2 linked regions of the Oreochromis niloticus genome follow. The protein of the gene in region 2 interacts with the protein of the main gene of each other region in a biochemical or structural test. Links are inferred from orthologs where the notes say so. Each region holds a gene or a part of one and is shown on either strand. Other genes may lie near its edges.

Region 1 (8,208 bases), on a different chromosome or scaffold from region 2:
TTTACTTGGATATGAGGGGATAAAAGAGCTCATGAGACGGGGTCTCTCTTCCTGCAGCTCCCTCTGCCTGCCAGAGAACATCACTGCATGAAGACTGCAGTTGATCCCCAACTTCTACTACGCTGTGGAGCATCATCAACAGGTCAGCATTAAATTAAGAGTATGAAAACTGCTACAGTCTGAACTTTTTTTTCAATCATTATATAGTTAACAACAACAGTTGTCTTTAGGCACTTTTATATTGTAAAGTAGCGAGGGTGAAGTAGAGAAGTATGAACTTGATGAAAGACTAGATTTAGAAAGGGCAATAATATGGTGTCACTCGGTGGGGAAAGAAATAAATGGATCATAAAGACAGCCATAAATGGGGTGGGGTGGTATAGGGTGATGGGCTACAAGAGAAAGTAGACAAAAGGTAATTTGTGACAAATGCATGAGGACTAAAGAAATGGGAGGTGCTCAAGCATATAGACGCATAACTGTTATATTAACTTTAATCAAAAAAGAAAGCTTGGTCTTAAAAGCCATTCAAACCCAAAGCGAGAGCTGGTTCCATAGGAGAGGGATCTAATAGCTAAAAGGTCTGACTGCCATTATTCTTTTGCAAACTCTGGTAAACAAATAAATTCTGGATTTAACTGGAAGCCAATGAGTAGAAGCTAATATGGGAGTCTCGGTGAGTACTCTCAGGGCAGTGTTTTGGATCCGCTAAAGGTTTTTCGGAGCGTTTTTAGGACAGCCTGACTCTGAAGAATTATAATAGAGTAGCAAAGGAGTAGTAAACTACTTTGTCACTCAGAGGCAGGATGGCTTCATTTCAGCAATTCACAGTAATACTGGAGGCCATGTCATTCAGGAAATCCATTCAAGCATTACATAAACATCTACAAATTAATTCATTAATAAACAGTCTTGCACATTGTTGGGAGTGTGGTGATTAATTCTTAATTTAAAAATGCTGCAGTGATGTCAGATTCATTGAAAGTCAAACTGTCATGTTTTTGCCAGCTTTGTGAGGAATATAGTGGATTAATACTATCCGTCAGACGGCGACGTGCAAAAAGACACAGAGCTTCAAAAGAGGATCCACCAGATCCATACTTATAGTAGCATACTTATACTGTTGAGGGAGTGATCAAGTTCATCACAATGCTGATCTTCACAGTGACAAGTCAACTCGCTGCAAACAATAATAGACAGGTTGGGCAATGAAATGCATAAAGTGTTTCAATTAAAACATCTTTTATATACAGGTTGTCAATTTTAGATCACATTTTATAGTAAGCTAAATTTAAAGTCCAGAGATTTCCTGATGATTTCCAGAGGAAGCTGTGTGCACAGCTGTGAAGCTTATTTACTCAACACTTCTTTATCTAGCTTGATTACCACTCCTGGGTGTCCAATGGCTCGCTCTTGCTGTGTGTGCAGACAATTTTGGAGACTCTCCCAAATGTTGGAGAGACAGTGGAGTTTGCAGGAATGGCTCGACATCTCTCTCAGAAGTGCACTAATGTATTAAGTTTTACATTTTATCAATCCATGATGCACAACCCTCACTAGCCCCTCCCCCCAAAATCACCACCTCCAAAGAAAAAAAAGTAAAACAACATATACATATATATATACATATATATATTTTTTTAATCACGGTTCTGGTCACAATTCTTAACTGAAACTCCTTCATCCATGGACACTTATTGCTTATTGTGAAAGCTTATTGCTTTCACTAATAAGCCCAGACATGAAGGTAAGACCAGATGTTTGGTATTTGTACAAACTGAGGTCCCTGATCAAAGGCCAAAACTGTGAAGTAGAGAATGGCCAGATGTAACAAAAAGGTTTTGTAATTCAGGTTTTTAAAGATCATATCACTAAATCGGTTGTCCTTTTTTCATTACTTTACAGGTTCTCGTGGGTCAGTGCGCTGAAGAGCGATTTGATGAGTTTGCCCTAAAGCAAATGATTAAGGAGTTTCAAGCCCAGCTGTACAAACTCAGTGAAGCAATTACAGGAAGAAACTCTCAGCTTGAAGTACCCTCCACATATCTGAACCTGATTAAAATAGAGAACAGCATAACTATTTAAGAAAGGTGTCAGCTGGCAGCACCAGGCTAACCTGCATGGTAGGAGGTTAATTCATACAACGGATGCCTGACAAGGTATTTTAGTACTAGAACAGTTTTTTGGTTGTAACCGAAAAACTTTTAGTGTTTTTATTGAATAGTTACAGGCTTTTACACTTTTTTTAAACCTTACATTCATGTGGAAAGAAGAGCAACAGATTTGTGGAAGGTGGATTATTCTAATGTGGTATTGTCACGGCTGCGGGAGCAGACACGTGGAGTGGTGAGAGAAAGGACCCAAGTGCAGGCATTTGGACCGCAGAGCTTTATTTACAGTGGGGAAAACGAAATACAAGCAAGAGCTAAACATGGCAGTGACTAAACTAAAACAAAACCTAAACTGGGTGAAACTAAAAAATGATACAAAGGAACAAAAGCCTGGGACTAGAAACCCAGGACATGAAACATAAAAACCTGAGACAGAGGAAGACACAGGGCTTAAATACACAGGCAGGACAACGAGCGATTGGGGAACAAGGTGGCAACACAGCCGGGACAAATCAGACATAACAAGACAAAGGAAGCAAAGCAGAATACCCAGACATAAGACAAGGACTTTCAAAGTAAAACAGGAAGCACAAGACATTCGCAGACTCAGAGACACAGACTTGACATGACTGACTGGATATGAAACATAGAACACAGGGAAGACACAGTTACTGAAACCAGGAGCTGGAACTACAAATATAACATGAACAGAAAACCATCAACAAAACCAAAGCCATGAATAACAAATAATCATGGAATATAACTTAAACACAAAAGCCATGACAGGTATAGTGAAAAACATGAATTCTCCAGAGGGATTGTGTTTAGAGTCTCTTGATTATACAAACTGATCCTTGCCACCAATTGCACGCATGTCCATATACTGCGGATGCTCACATTAGAGGAGTTGGTCACTTCTAAAGTGCAGTATTAGAAACACAGTGCATGTACAGCATATAGCATGCATGGTGGCAGTGTACAACAATTATTCAGCTTTAACTGATCAAATGGTGAACTGCATGTACGGATCATAATTTCATCCGGTCAGATGAGTGGCAAATTCTGTGCATGATGGCCTAAATTCTACTGACAAGAGAGCACATCCACAAGTCAAAAATGAGCAGATCTAATAAGGGAAAAACAAGTAATCTAACAAACTGAATACTATGTAAGTGCAGATTTTACACATGCTCAAGAGACGGCTAAAGAAGAATCAATACAGTTTATAAGGTTGACCCTCTTTATTTGAAATCGAAGCTAGTTGTGCAGTCTTAGAGGCAGCTGTTCTCTAGAGGCAGGTAAAGGGCAGGATTCATCTAGAAAAGTGCTGCTTTATTAAAATTCTTCTACTTTAAAAGATGTGTGTAGAAGAACACAAATCACCATTTAGGGTCGAGTCAGGTCCTGAGCATACCTCTGTTAATTAAGTTACTGTGCCGTGTGATTAATGCACACATTGCTGGTGTCGTTTTCTGCTGCAGGATTTGTTCAAGTTTCTGTTATTGCCTAATCTCTGAGTAGAAATGTGATTAAAACCCTGAAGCACTGCAAACCTATCGGCTCACTGCAACACAGAACCTGGCTGCCTAACACGCATCCTTGCTTTTCTTTGGATTCTCCTCCTTCTCGTGCACCACATTACTTCTACTCTGTATAAAACCAGCATTTTGTCATTCTTCTTATTTTTGTTATTATTACTGAGGACCAGAAATATTTGGATCTCAGCCCTATACATGCAGGGTGATTCTGAAGGATTAGAGGACAGAGCCCAAGTTTTGGCATGTGTTTGTTCTGGTAATACCTTCTCTCATTCCAAATAAATGAAAACACCTAATGGCAACAATCACAACCACACCAAACAGCTTAAGATGTGTTTAATTTTTTTTTTTTTTTTTTTTTTTTTACCAGATTAGCTAAATGTAAATATTTTATTTCTTTACTTGGAGAGCAGGTATGGTGGAGCATCACTGTGGTGACCTCTAGAAGCACTACATGTTTAAATGTAAGCATACAGTAAATATCCACCAAAGTTTTGAAGGTCAACTTAATAATTTATGGATTAAAAACTGACAAAAAAACCTGAGAACTTACCATTACCAGTGTGGTGGTTTTGTCTACACATAAAATGTACTATATAAAAATGTTAAATATTGTGTCAAGTTTGACCTCTGACTTGTTCTCGGTCAATAGCTGATCTGAAGGCCAAAGTGATGATAAAGCTATGTAGAGCTATTTAAAACTATGTTTCTCACTGCCAATGTTTGTGCTGACAAACTACAAGCATAGAGGGAATCCTATTCTAAATATTGTTTTTAAATATCACATTACTTTGTGCTTCTTCTTTTTTTACCTGTTTTTCAAGTTCGAATGAGGTCAAACAAATTTTATTTTTAAAGCTGTACTTAAAATTCAAGTGCCACATTTAGAAAATTATACTGGTATCTGGGTTTTCTAAATATCACGTTATAGTTTGCAAAAAAAATCATGTCACATTTGACCTCTGATCTCACTTTCGCACTTCACGTCTGCCTTTCTTTCAAATCTAAAAATCTTTAGTTAAAAGTATTGTCAAGAGAAATATAATGAGCTGCCTACAGTAGTTAGAAATGCACTGTTATATAATATTATATAATAAACTTAAGTTATTAGTGTCCAGTTATTTATTAAGCAATAGATGTTATCCATCTGTCATGCTTCCTTTTTTATTGCACTACAAAAGTACGTAAAAAAAAGAAAGAAAAGAAAATGAATGTATAGAAAATATAATACTTTTCCCTTAAGAGTAGATGCTGCCCAGAGAGTAATGTGTTTTCTGAAGCGCAGTATTTTGAGCTGTCCAGTCTCACGTGGCTTCTGCAAGGTGCCCGATAATCCTGGCAGAGTGGGACCTCATTCTCTTTCTCTTGTCTTTGCTGCAAACTGAACTATCCAACTGCACCCGGTTATTTTTAGGCTACACCATACAGTCACAGCGTCGCGAATGTAACGCAATAGCTGCTATAACATTATAGGCCATAATAACCCATAAGGTCGCCATACCAATCGGCTGAACAGATTTAGGCAAGCCTGCGGTCATGTTGTTTAGATTCGGCGTCATTCTCACTCCGGAGTCCTCGGAGGTCGACGTCTTTGTTTTGGGTTCGCGTGCTGAAATGGGGAACTGGGACCCGAACAGAGCGGTTCGGATGAAAGCCACACAGAAACTCCCGTCACCCGCAGAACCGTGTCTGTGGATCGGTGAGGTGCACCTAGCCGAGCCCCACAGAGACACACTGTGGTTCAAGTTCATCCAAAGAGTCAGAGGCACCTTTATCTGGGAAGGTACCTGTGCACTTCTGGTTTAATGTGCATCACATCTGGTTCACACGTAGACGCTTTTCCAAACGTCTCACAGATTTGCTGTAATTATTCTAAGGTTAGCGGGGAGAGACATAAATATGACTGCGCCATGTTTGGTTGCTATAGTGCAATGTTTTCATAGTGCCACATGATGGCGGTAAGTGACACTAAATGTTCAGTGGCTAACAAATTGCATTGTATCTGCAAACCTAAAAAAGTTTAATATTTCTGAAAAATCCGAAAAAACTATTGAGTCTTTTATTTTAAATTAACAGTTGAAATTCAGCATGTGAATATAACGGTTTACAGTTAGAGTTCAGCATTTATACTTCATCATCTGCACCCAGGAATGAATGCACAGTAATGCAATGCTGGATTCCTCTGAAAGTTTCTTTAACATGCAAGCCATATTTAATTTTATGATATTTTTGATGTAATATAAATGGATAAAAGGATTCTCATTTGAAATTAGTCATATGGTCTTAATGTTGGACACAGGGGCGTAATTTCCAGGGGGTTAGGGGGTTATGACCCCCCCCCCCCCAATAATCAGACCCAACCAATATACCCCCCCCCCCCCCCCCCCAATAAAATTATGAATTATCTTGCATAAATAGGCTGTTGATTTTCTTTACTCGTTTCAGGTATTACCAGCAAAATAGTTGCATGTTTAATCATCTAGGAATCTATCTATTTATTTAGACAGAGATCTTGACCCACCCAATGTTCAGCACAAAGTTACGCCAATGGTTGGACAGTTTATAACAAGGGTGTCAAACATAAGGCCCCGGGGCCAGAATCAGCCCGGTGAATACTCCAATCTGCCCCACTGGATAGCTTTAGAATATAAGAAGCAGGGCGTAAATTTTTGACTTTTTTTTTCTATCCTTATAAGTTTTACAACTTCTCCTGTTGATAAAGAATTCCCCCCCCAGTGGCTATTTATAGTACATCACAGAAATTAAGTTATTTAACAGTTAAATAACTGAAAAGTGCCTGTTTTTTGTTTGTTTGTTTACAATCTACTATAGAAATGTATGTTTTTTACAATGGTCCCAGAAAACTGAAACTCATTTCTATTTTTATGTAATTTGACATATTTTTGTCATACAGTTTAAATCATGCTGACACATTTCTTTTTCATTTACTACAACACCATTTCTTTATCATGTAGAAAAACTGAGAAATACTGTTGAAATCTGTTTCATATTTCAAGACATCTCAGCTAAACTTTACACTGGGCCACATGTGACACACTGTTGAAAATGAGTTTGACGTCCCTGATTTATGTGCATTAACCTGCTTGTCATCTTTGTCACCAGGAAGCGGGCCAAGCCATGACAGATGGTGTACATATGATGATAAGAATGTGGTGGACGGCGTGTATTGCCACCCGATCGGCCACTGGATAGAAGAAACAGGGCACACAGATGAGATGAGGCACACCACCAACTTTTATTTCAGTGTGGCTGGTCAGAAGGCCATGCATTTCTCCAGGTAATACAGTACATATACATGCTTTCTGCATGATGTTCTAATCAAGGGAGCCTTAATATAAGATAATTTGCAGTGTTGTGCGTTCGTACACTTCTCACAATTTCGGTAAAGAAAGTTTTTTGCACTTTTACTAAGTAATTCTTTGATGATCACAGTTCAGTGGGTTAGGAAAGGCTGGTTTTATTTTATTTTATTTTATTTATTTATTTTGGTGATTGATGTTTGTGACAGAAGGATAGCAGCGAGACTGAAAGGGAACATTTACAAGATGGTAGTGAGACCTGCTGTGATGTATGGTTTAGAGATGGTCGCACTGACAAATTGACAGGAGGCCAAGCTGGAGGTGGCAAAGATGAAGATACTAAGATTTTCATTAAGAGTGACCAGGATGGACAGAAGTGGAAATCAGTATATCAGAGGGTCAGCTCTGGTTAAGCAGTTTGAACACAAAGTTAGAGAGGCAAGGCTGAGGTGGTTTGGACGTGAGCAGACGAGGGATAGTGGACAAAGAATGGTGAATATGGGGCTGCCAAACTGACCACAGATGTTGAAGTAAAGGTGAAGGATGCTAGCAATAAGGTCAGATGGACACAATTGGTCCATCTGGAGGAACTATTACCCAGTAATGTATCTAAATGTTAATTATTAAGCAAGAAGCTAATAAATAGCTCTTTAATCACCATTTTAAAACACATTTCTTTTACTCTGTGTTGCATCTTTTCTCTATAATTGTTACATCTGAGAAATCAACTGTGGCAGCTTTGAAATTAATAATAAATTTTATTTGTAAAGCACAAAAATGGGCATTTCTATTAAAATAACCCACTTGACTCAAGTGCAACATCAAACTAAGATTAAGAAGCAATGTGATTCCATTGTAATTATATCGTTAACATAGAAATTAACGATATAAGTTAAGCTAAGAATGACAAAAAATCTGAAATCTACATTAGAAGATGGTCAAACAAGATTTTAAAAAAACAAGCCTTACAATATAAATGGAACAGTGATTTAAAGAAGCCACAGATGAGGCGATGCGTATTTCCTCAGACAGGTCATTCCACTTCTGAGGAGCTCTAACAGCAAACGCCTCCTTTCTCTTTAAGCATAAAGTGAGAACAGTTAACAGGTTTCTGTCTGAGGAGCTAAAGAACAAGCCTGTTGGATATTTTCATAACATGTCATGGTTGTCAGTGGGTGACAGGTCTGGGCTGCAGGTAGGTTAGTTTAGCGCCCCAGACCCTTTTGATACGGAGCTTCC
Region 2 (7,239 bases):
AAAAGTTTATGGTAATGTGGCACGAAGCCAAGGAGACAGAAAAGTAGTCTGCAAGCAGAAATCGTCGTTATAACACTTACCCCTGCGGTTCATGGGCCGAACTCTCACTGCAACTTTTACCTTTGTATCCGACATTTTCGTCCACTTTTCACTCCCACCCTGTCTATTCGCCCAGCTATCAACGCAGAGTCTCCGACAAGAAAGCCCGGCTTTTTGCCAGAAAAAAGGGCAAAAGAATCTAGCTAAACAATCCCAAAAGAGTCCAATCCTCGATGAGAAGTGATGGGAAAGCGTTCATTTTTGTCTTAGTATCCATCCGGGTTCGCTTCTTGTGCAAATCCAGCACTCAGCTCCAGCCCCAGACAGCATCCCCACCGCCATCTTCCACTGGGAGCACGACTGCTATCCTCTGGCAGACTGGAGAGGCTGTGCCAAAGAGGGGGAAAGGATTTACGCACCCCGCCGGCGCATCGGCGCATTGGGGGAAACCAATGAACGAGAAATGTGAGCGTGTGTGACAAGTTAGTTCACATGCATCAGTGAGCATTGAGAGGCAGTGCGGAGCTTGGAGTCAGCTTTAAACAGTTGTTATCACATGATTTTTGACTATGACTTATTGGCGCTTAGTTCTCTCACACACACACATACACACTGAATTGTTTAATTATTTGCATTTTTGGTAAGCAAGAAAAGGGGTTAAAAATTTTACAGTTTATATAACTTTATTATAATATTTAGCAGAATCATTTTTTGACCCACCACCTCACTTCTGTTGACGTAAAGCCTAAAAATAATGTCTGTTTTTCACTCTTATATCCCTAAGCTGCCAAATTTAACCCTTACAATAGCATTTATGTTGGACTTTTTTTTTTTTACTTTTTTTTTAAGTTTAAGTTTTACCATTTGTCCATCACCTTAAAATTTTGCATTAAAAAGCTATTTTTTAATATATATATTTGCGTAAATCTGTAAGTTGTGTTTTAACACATGTGATATAATCTAATTTAAAAAGTGTTCTGTTATCCAGGGGAAAAAGTAAACATATAATCTGTCGTTGTGGCATATAACGTTTAAACTTGGTTACTTGTAATCCTACAACACCTTCATCTATGTATGTCCTCACCGTCTGCTGTTAGCAGCTGGACCTTTTTTTCTCAGATAGTTTCATTTGGCCTCATTTTTCAAAAGCCTTGGATCAGTTCAGAGACTGAGAATCATCACATTGCTATATTACACCGTCATTAAATAATACAACATCATTTTCAACAACTGCTACAATATTAACACAATAACAGACATAATTTCATTCCTGACGTCCTGCTGAAAATGGTTTCACCATATACAACCTTTTTTTTTTTTCATTTTGACACTTTCAAAGTAACACAATGACATTTTACTCTCTATCTAAAGTAAAACTTGTATTTTCAAAACTAGTCACAGAAGGCAACTCAAACAAAAAAATGTAATACAACCTATCATCACTTCATCCTGTGCTAAGCTGCGTTTCACTTCACTTTATTTAATTCGTCTCACTTGAACAGCTACTTTGGGATTGTTCATACATAAACTATGTCACAGGTCCAGCATCAGATTTGGGAGAATAAATCTTCACTGTATGGTCGCCACTGTCCAGTGTGATGAGAAGGTTGTTCAGTAGCGCTAATCCAACGGGGCGAACAAGATGGTCTCCCACAAGAGGAGTAAGGACTGGGCCACTCTGGAGCTTCCCTAAGCTCCAAATCATCCCCTGGTCTGAGTCAATCACAATTAAATCTCCATCTCTGTCGAACGCCACACCTGAGAAGCTGAGCCTCACTGTGGACTGCAGGGTCAGGCTGAAAGTGTCTGTCTGGTAAAGGAGGTGGAACTCTTTTGTAAACACCCTGATCCTTCTGTGTTGGTGTCTCTCCGTTGGATTGGTGACATCAGTTAGATGCTCCGTCACTGCAGTGTTCCCATTCACGCAACAGTAGGCCACCGCTTTAGGGCACTGAAGGTCTGAAATGGTTGTTTGATGCTCTAGAATGACGCCATTACTATAGTCCACCCTCACCTTGGAGAGGGTGCCGGCCTCAACATCAGAGACCAGGATGTGTCCACAGCTGTCAGTGTCCACGCCCCAGGGCATCTGGAAGGAATCTTTGATTGTCAACACGTGATTCCCCCTGGACGTGAACACTTTTACAGCTTTATCACCCGCATCAGTCACAACCACATGACCAGCTGGGGTCACTGCCACGTCCACTGGGTAACAGATCTCCCCACTGGCTGCTCCTTTTTGCCCAAAGCTGTGCAGCTTCTTTCCCTGTAGATTGAACACTACCACTCTCTTCTCTCCATCATGGACCACAACTATTGTTCCTGAGGACCCCAAAACAGCTATTCCAGTTGGGTTGATAAGAGTCCCCCACCCACCAAATGCAGTACGCAGGAGAAGAGTTGTGCACGTCAGAGCTGTGGGAAAGATAAAACCAGCTTTTGCTCTACACGAAGGAGCAGACGGTGAGGGACTTTGAGACAACAGAAGATCCTTTAGGTCACTAAGAACCTGGCAGTGGGAGGTGCTGTCAACACTGCATAACTGTCGACAGAAAGGGCACTCCAGCTTCCTCAGGAGAGGGTGGGACAAAGCTGTGATGCATTCCAGACAGAGTACATGGCCACAGGAAAGGTTCTGTGGTCTGCGCTCCCTTTGCTGAGAGCTAAACGTCTCGAAGCAGACTTTGCACTCCAGTAGGTTGATCTGAATCTCTCTGATTATCCCCTCTGGACTGAGGCAGCCACGATGTTGGAGACTCTTGGCCATGACTGAAATATCCTGTTCTTTAAACCCTGTGGGATGGTTCAGTCAGCTGATGCAGGCAGCAGCAAATTCAGGAAACCAAAATAGAACACGTGCCAATTTACGTGGTGAAATAGAGAATCGTGAAGAGAGGCATATGAAGCACAATTTTGTGTAAGCACTGGTGCCCTGGGCTTTTAGGCCTCAACTGTCACGTGGTATTTTGCACATAACTAAGGCTCTCTGCTGCCCTCCTTTGGAAAACAGTCACAGAACACAGAACCCAAATTGCAGATATCGCAGAGTAAATTCAGTGACGAAAAAAGCCTGTATATTAAATACTTTTAAAAAAAGGAAAGAAAGAAATATGTTTGGCTAGAGTTCAGTGCACAATCTCTTGAATGTGCAACAGTGTGTCTGGAAGCTCTGCCACTACTCATGTTTAAGACTACATGATGTTTATTTCCGAAGGAACAGCAACCGTACCTTCAAATACATCTTGCTGTAGGTCAGCATGGGGCAGCTATTTCAGTCTGAGTTTCATGCTGTGCAGACGGAGTGAAATCTGATCTGTTATGGGCCGTGCTTGAATCAGCCAATCCAGCCCTCCTTTGCTGCAGCGGGACACTCCTCAGGGGTCAAACAATGTCATTGAAAATTTCTCTTGTTAAGTACGCAAACATAGAGGGGCTTCCTGCTAGTAGGAATGTGACAGCAAGTAAAAATGACCAAACAAGATTAAGAGGAAATTAAAACACTTTTAATACGTTTCACAGTGGAAAAGAACAGCACAGGTCGTTTTCAGCAGAATTGTTTTTGGCAAATGACATCTAAATCCACAGACGAGGTCCTATTTAGTGTCTACTGTATGTAGCACGGGAGCCAGGTCTGTTCCAGAGAGGTCAGTGTCTGGATTGTCAAGGATTATGAGGGATAGTATATCTGTACTGAGATGATACTGACACATGAAATGGAAATATAACCTTCAAATAAAATACTCAAGGCCAGAAGAATCAAAGACACACAAAACAAGTCAGTCTTAATAGAAACTGAAAGAAGATAGGAATTAAAAAAACAAAACAAACATGCAAACAGGCACAAGGGGTGAATTAAAATGTTACCACGACAGTGAAAAAGGTGTACATAACAATACTGGCATCCTGCTGTGTGGTGTAATACAAAGACTCTTATAACGGTTTCCTACTACAACACTTGATTTGATTGGAGTCAGCCATGCAAATGCAATATACGCAACAAGAAGGCCAAACCAGACACAGACAGAAAAACCTGACAATACATGCAGTAATTTGAATAATTACGTTCTCTTATTAGTAAAAACAAAAGAAAAGAAAAAAATTAGCAGCCACAGGAGGACAAGGAGAGTAAAATCACTCAAGGTCACAATGATTCACAAAATACTCGAACATTACATAATGTACAGTATTTTCAATAAACTTTCTGCAAAGTGCTTAAACTGTGTGCTTTGCTTCATTACAGGCCAAACGCAGACCAAAGCCGGTGATCCTACCACGCTAAAGCTGTCTGGTATTGAACTCCTGCCCACATTCAAGTTAAAAAAACGTAAAATAGTGAACATCTATGATGTAAATAGATCATCAGTGACAGACATTTATATAAAAAGGCTTTAGCTTCTTTTGTGCTATAAACATAGACGCTCCACTAAGTGATAAATTCTACATAATGGCTTTTAACATTGAAATGGGTTTGATACCAGAGTTGGTATAAACCAGTCAATTGTACATTAGCCTTCAATGATACTATTTCATAGGATAACTGTGAATTATAGCTCACTAGCTACAATGATCATGCAATTATATTTAGAAATGGCAGTTTTTGTTGCCACACCTTTCTCTCACACACTCGCACAAAATAAAATTCTCCCACTCTTTCATCCAAAAAGCAAACACACAAAAAAAAAGTGATCAGTGGTTTAGGAGCTTTTATGACTACAGCACACACCAACGTGTGTATCTCTGTAGAATGAGCCACTGTGCACTCCTAATAACACTGCATGGACCTGTTTTTCCACTTCTGCTGTCTGCACTCCATCTACTGTAGGTGGGTGGCTTTCTAGGCTTCGGTCACATCAGGAAGCGGTCGTAGCTTTACCCTCTTCTCCATCTGTAATCTTTCACACTTCGGGTTACAGGAGTTACCCAACAGCCTCCGCCTCCAACTCCTACTGGCTGTCGAGGCCGTTGATGGATTTGGTCTTTCCTGTGTCCTTCTTTCTCTGTCTGGCTTTAGGGCTGTCGCCGTCTACATCAGTTTCTCCTGAAACATGAAGATCACTCATTTCAAATGAACCCATAAAGAGACGGAACTGCACTGTGTTTTTTCTCATACATGTGTGAGTATGCATGAGTAAAGCACTATAATAAACACTAGAGGTCACCCCTTTACAAGACAGCAACTGAATAGTGGTGTGCATTTTTTTTAAATGTGGCGTGCTGGGTGAATTACAGTGAAGTCAGTGTACCTTTAAATCCCTCAGACACATGGTCAGCAAACTCTGCGAAATTACTGTCTTCACATTCTGAGAGGCTCTGAGGGGAGAAAAGGTTTAAGACACATGACACACACATACCTGCAACTGAACAGGGACCATACTGTGCATGCATCACGGCTAACTGACCCCGTACAGCTTTCTCTGTAAACAAGCCAATAACAACCCCTACAAGGAAAACCTTGAATGTTAAAATTTACTAATGATCTTTGAGAGTAGATGATTATTTAGCTACAGAGCATGGTTGGCTTCACCACAGAACATTTGGCCTTTTGCCATTCAGGCACAGATCTCAGTTTGTTGTAGCTTTATTTAGACGTAACAAGAGTTTACAGAAAGGCACTGAAGTGTGACACTGCTATAGAAATCACGCGATGGGATAATAATGTTAGCAGTAATGATGGCTTTATAATCCGGTTTTGGTTTAATCACTAGAGCAGTAGCTCTCAAACTGTGGGGCACAGGCAACCAGGTGTAAAAATATTAACCACCAAGCGTTGCCTGGCGCTGGTCTTTATCTGAGTAAAGTTCAACTTGAATCCTTTTTTATATTGTTAATGACTGTGGGTGTGGGGTATGGATTTTCTTGGCTTCTGAAGTGCGGGACGCCAACCAAACAGTGTGAACTGCCACAATGGCGCACCATGAGCTTGACCTCCAGGAACATTATCTCACAATTACCTTTTAAATAACTAACTAATCCGTTTTTTGTATTTGTTAGATAGGCTGAGAATAAAGAAACGAGTTGGGATTGAAATTAACTCCAATTTGCTCATGTGTTAAGTGGTTTTATGGATATTCACCTTGTTTTTCCTAATTCCTATCATTCCTGTCCTCAACAGAAGGGAAAAACACTTCAGACTCCTGGCAACCAGAGGTCACTAAGGAAACTATATTTTCTGGTTCCGGTTGGCAAGTGGTTGCTAGTGGTCGCTGGGTGAAAATGGTCGTATACGGCGCTGCACCAATAGCCTCTTAACACTTACTAGCTACCAGCTGAGCAGGGATACTTTTACTCTGAAAGTGTGACACCTTCAAAGTAAAAGTTGTCCCATTTGAAATGTTTTGGTTGCAGTGGTAAGGCACAGCTTTCAGTTCGAAGAGGAATGTTCTCAGTTTCTGGTTGTATTGCACTTTAAGTTTCACTACTGCTCCGTGAATAGTTAGTCTGGGTACGTTTTTGGTGCAGGGACTACACTAGTTTCCAGAGGCTGCCAGGGGATTGTCGACTGGTCTGTAGGCCTGCGTGAGTGAGGCCTTAAATTCTTTGTAAATGCTTTAAGGTCCACAGTAGAGCAGTTAAATGGAAAAACTGATGAAAGCTAAAGCAATAAACATACCTTTTCCCTTGGACCATATGTTTCTGCGTACCATACCATTCCATACAGGCACAGGAATGTAATGAAGGCCTAAAAACAGAATGAAGGCAACATAAACTGTAAAATGATTCATGGAAAATGTGTAAAAAATAACTTACACAATTATATTTTATTTGTATGTTAGAATATTCATATTAAACAATAAAGACATATGCATAGAAAAAATTACACATATTTCAGTGCACAATGGACTTTCTTACCAAACACAAAAGCCAGAGGATCACATAGAGGATCTGTGTTTTTGAGAACAAGTCCTGTCCAAACTTAATGCATGCCAAAGCCTCCAGAAAGGCTATTGCCCTGTGAATGAGAAGGAGGGGGCAAAACAAACATGTAGTTCAGTATTTTAACTCACTGGCAGCAAAAAGAAGAGAAATCCAAACCAAAAATACCATCCAAATCAAACATGTCAGTAGTTTTGGGCTTTTATCTGAGAGCACAGCTTGGGTCACTGACCTACACATTTGAACTTTTTTGGATAAAAATATTCCTGATGTAGGTCAGCTGTTTGACAGCTTAGTCCTCGAGTGAGGCAGTGAAATGCCTGCATG

What was found.
Region 1: the proteins of E3 ubiquitin-protein ligase NHLRC1 (region 2) and epm2a form a complex in vitro, tested with the Homo sapiens proteins (3 studies listed by BioGRID, with this or other methods). The link is inferred for Oreochromis niloticus from reciprocal best matches to the Homo sapiens genes NHLRC1 and EPM2A.

Annotation. Positions count from the first base shown.
Region 1 is NC_031980.2:11,217,776-11,225,983, forward strand, and holds the start of epm2a (laforin), read left to right. Parts: upstream 1-4,958; 5' UTR 4,959-5,185; coding exon 5,186-5,432; intron 5,433-6,772; coding exon 6,773-6,947; intron 6,948-8,208. UniProt on the Homo sapiens protein: Plays an important role in preventing glycogen hyperphosphorylation and the formation of insoluble aggregates, via its activity as glycogen phosphatase, and by promoting the ubiquitination of proteins involved in glycogen metabolism via its interaction with the E3 ubiquitin ligase NHLRC1/malin.
Region 2 is NC_031976.2:18,790,063-18,797,301, forward strand, and holds E3 ubiquitin-protein ligase NHLRC1, read right to left. Parts: upstream 2,978-7,239; 5' UTR 2,807-2,977; coding exon 1,568-2,806; 3' UTR 704-1,567; downstream 1-703. Other genes in the region: kinesin-like protein KIF13A, read right to left, coding at 81-135; ptdss1a (phosphatidylserine synthase 1), read right to left, coding at 4,983-5,077, 5,283-5,349, 6,650-6,718, 6,889-6,988. UniProt on the Homo sapiens protein: E3 ubiquitin-protein ligase. Together with the phosphatase EPM2A/laforin, appears to be involved in the clearance of toxic polyglucosan and protein aggregates via multiple pathways.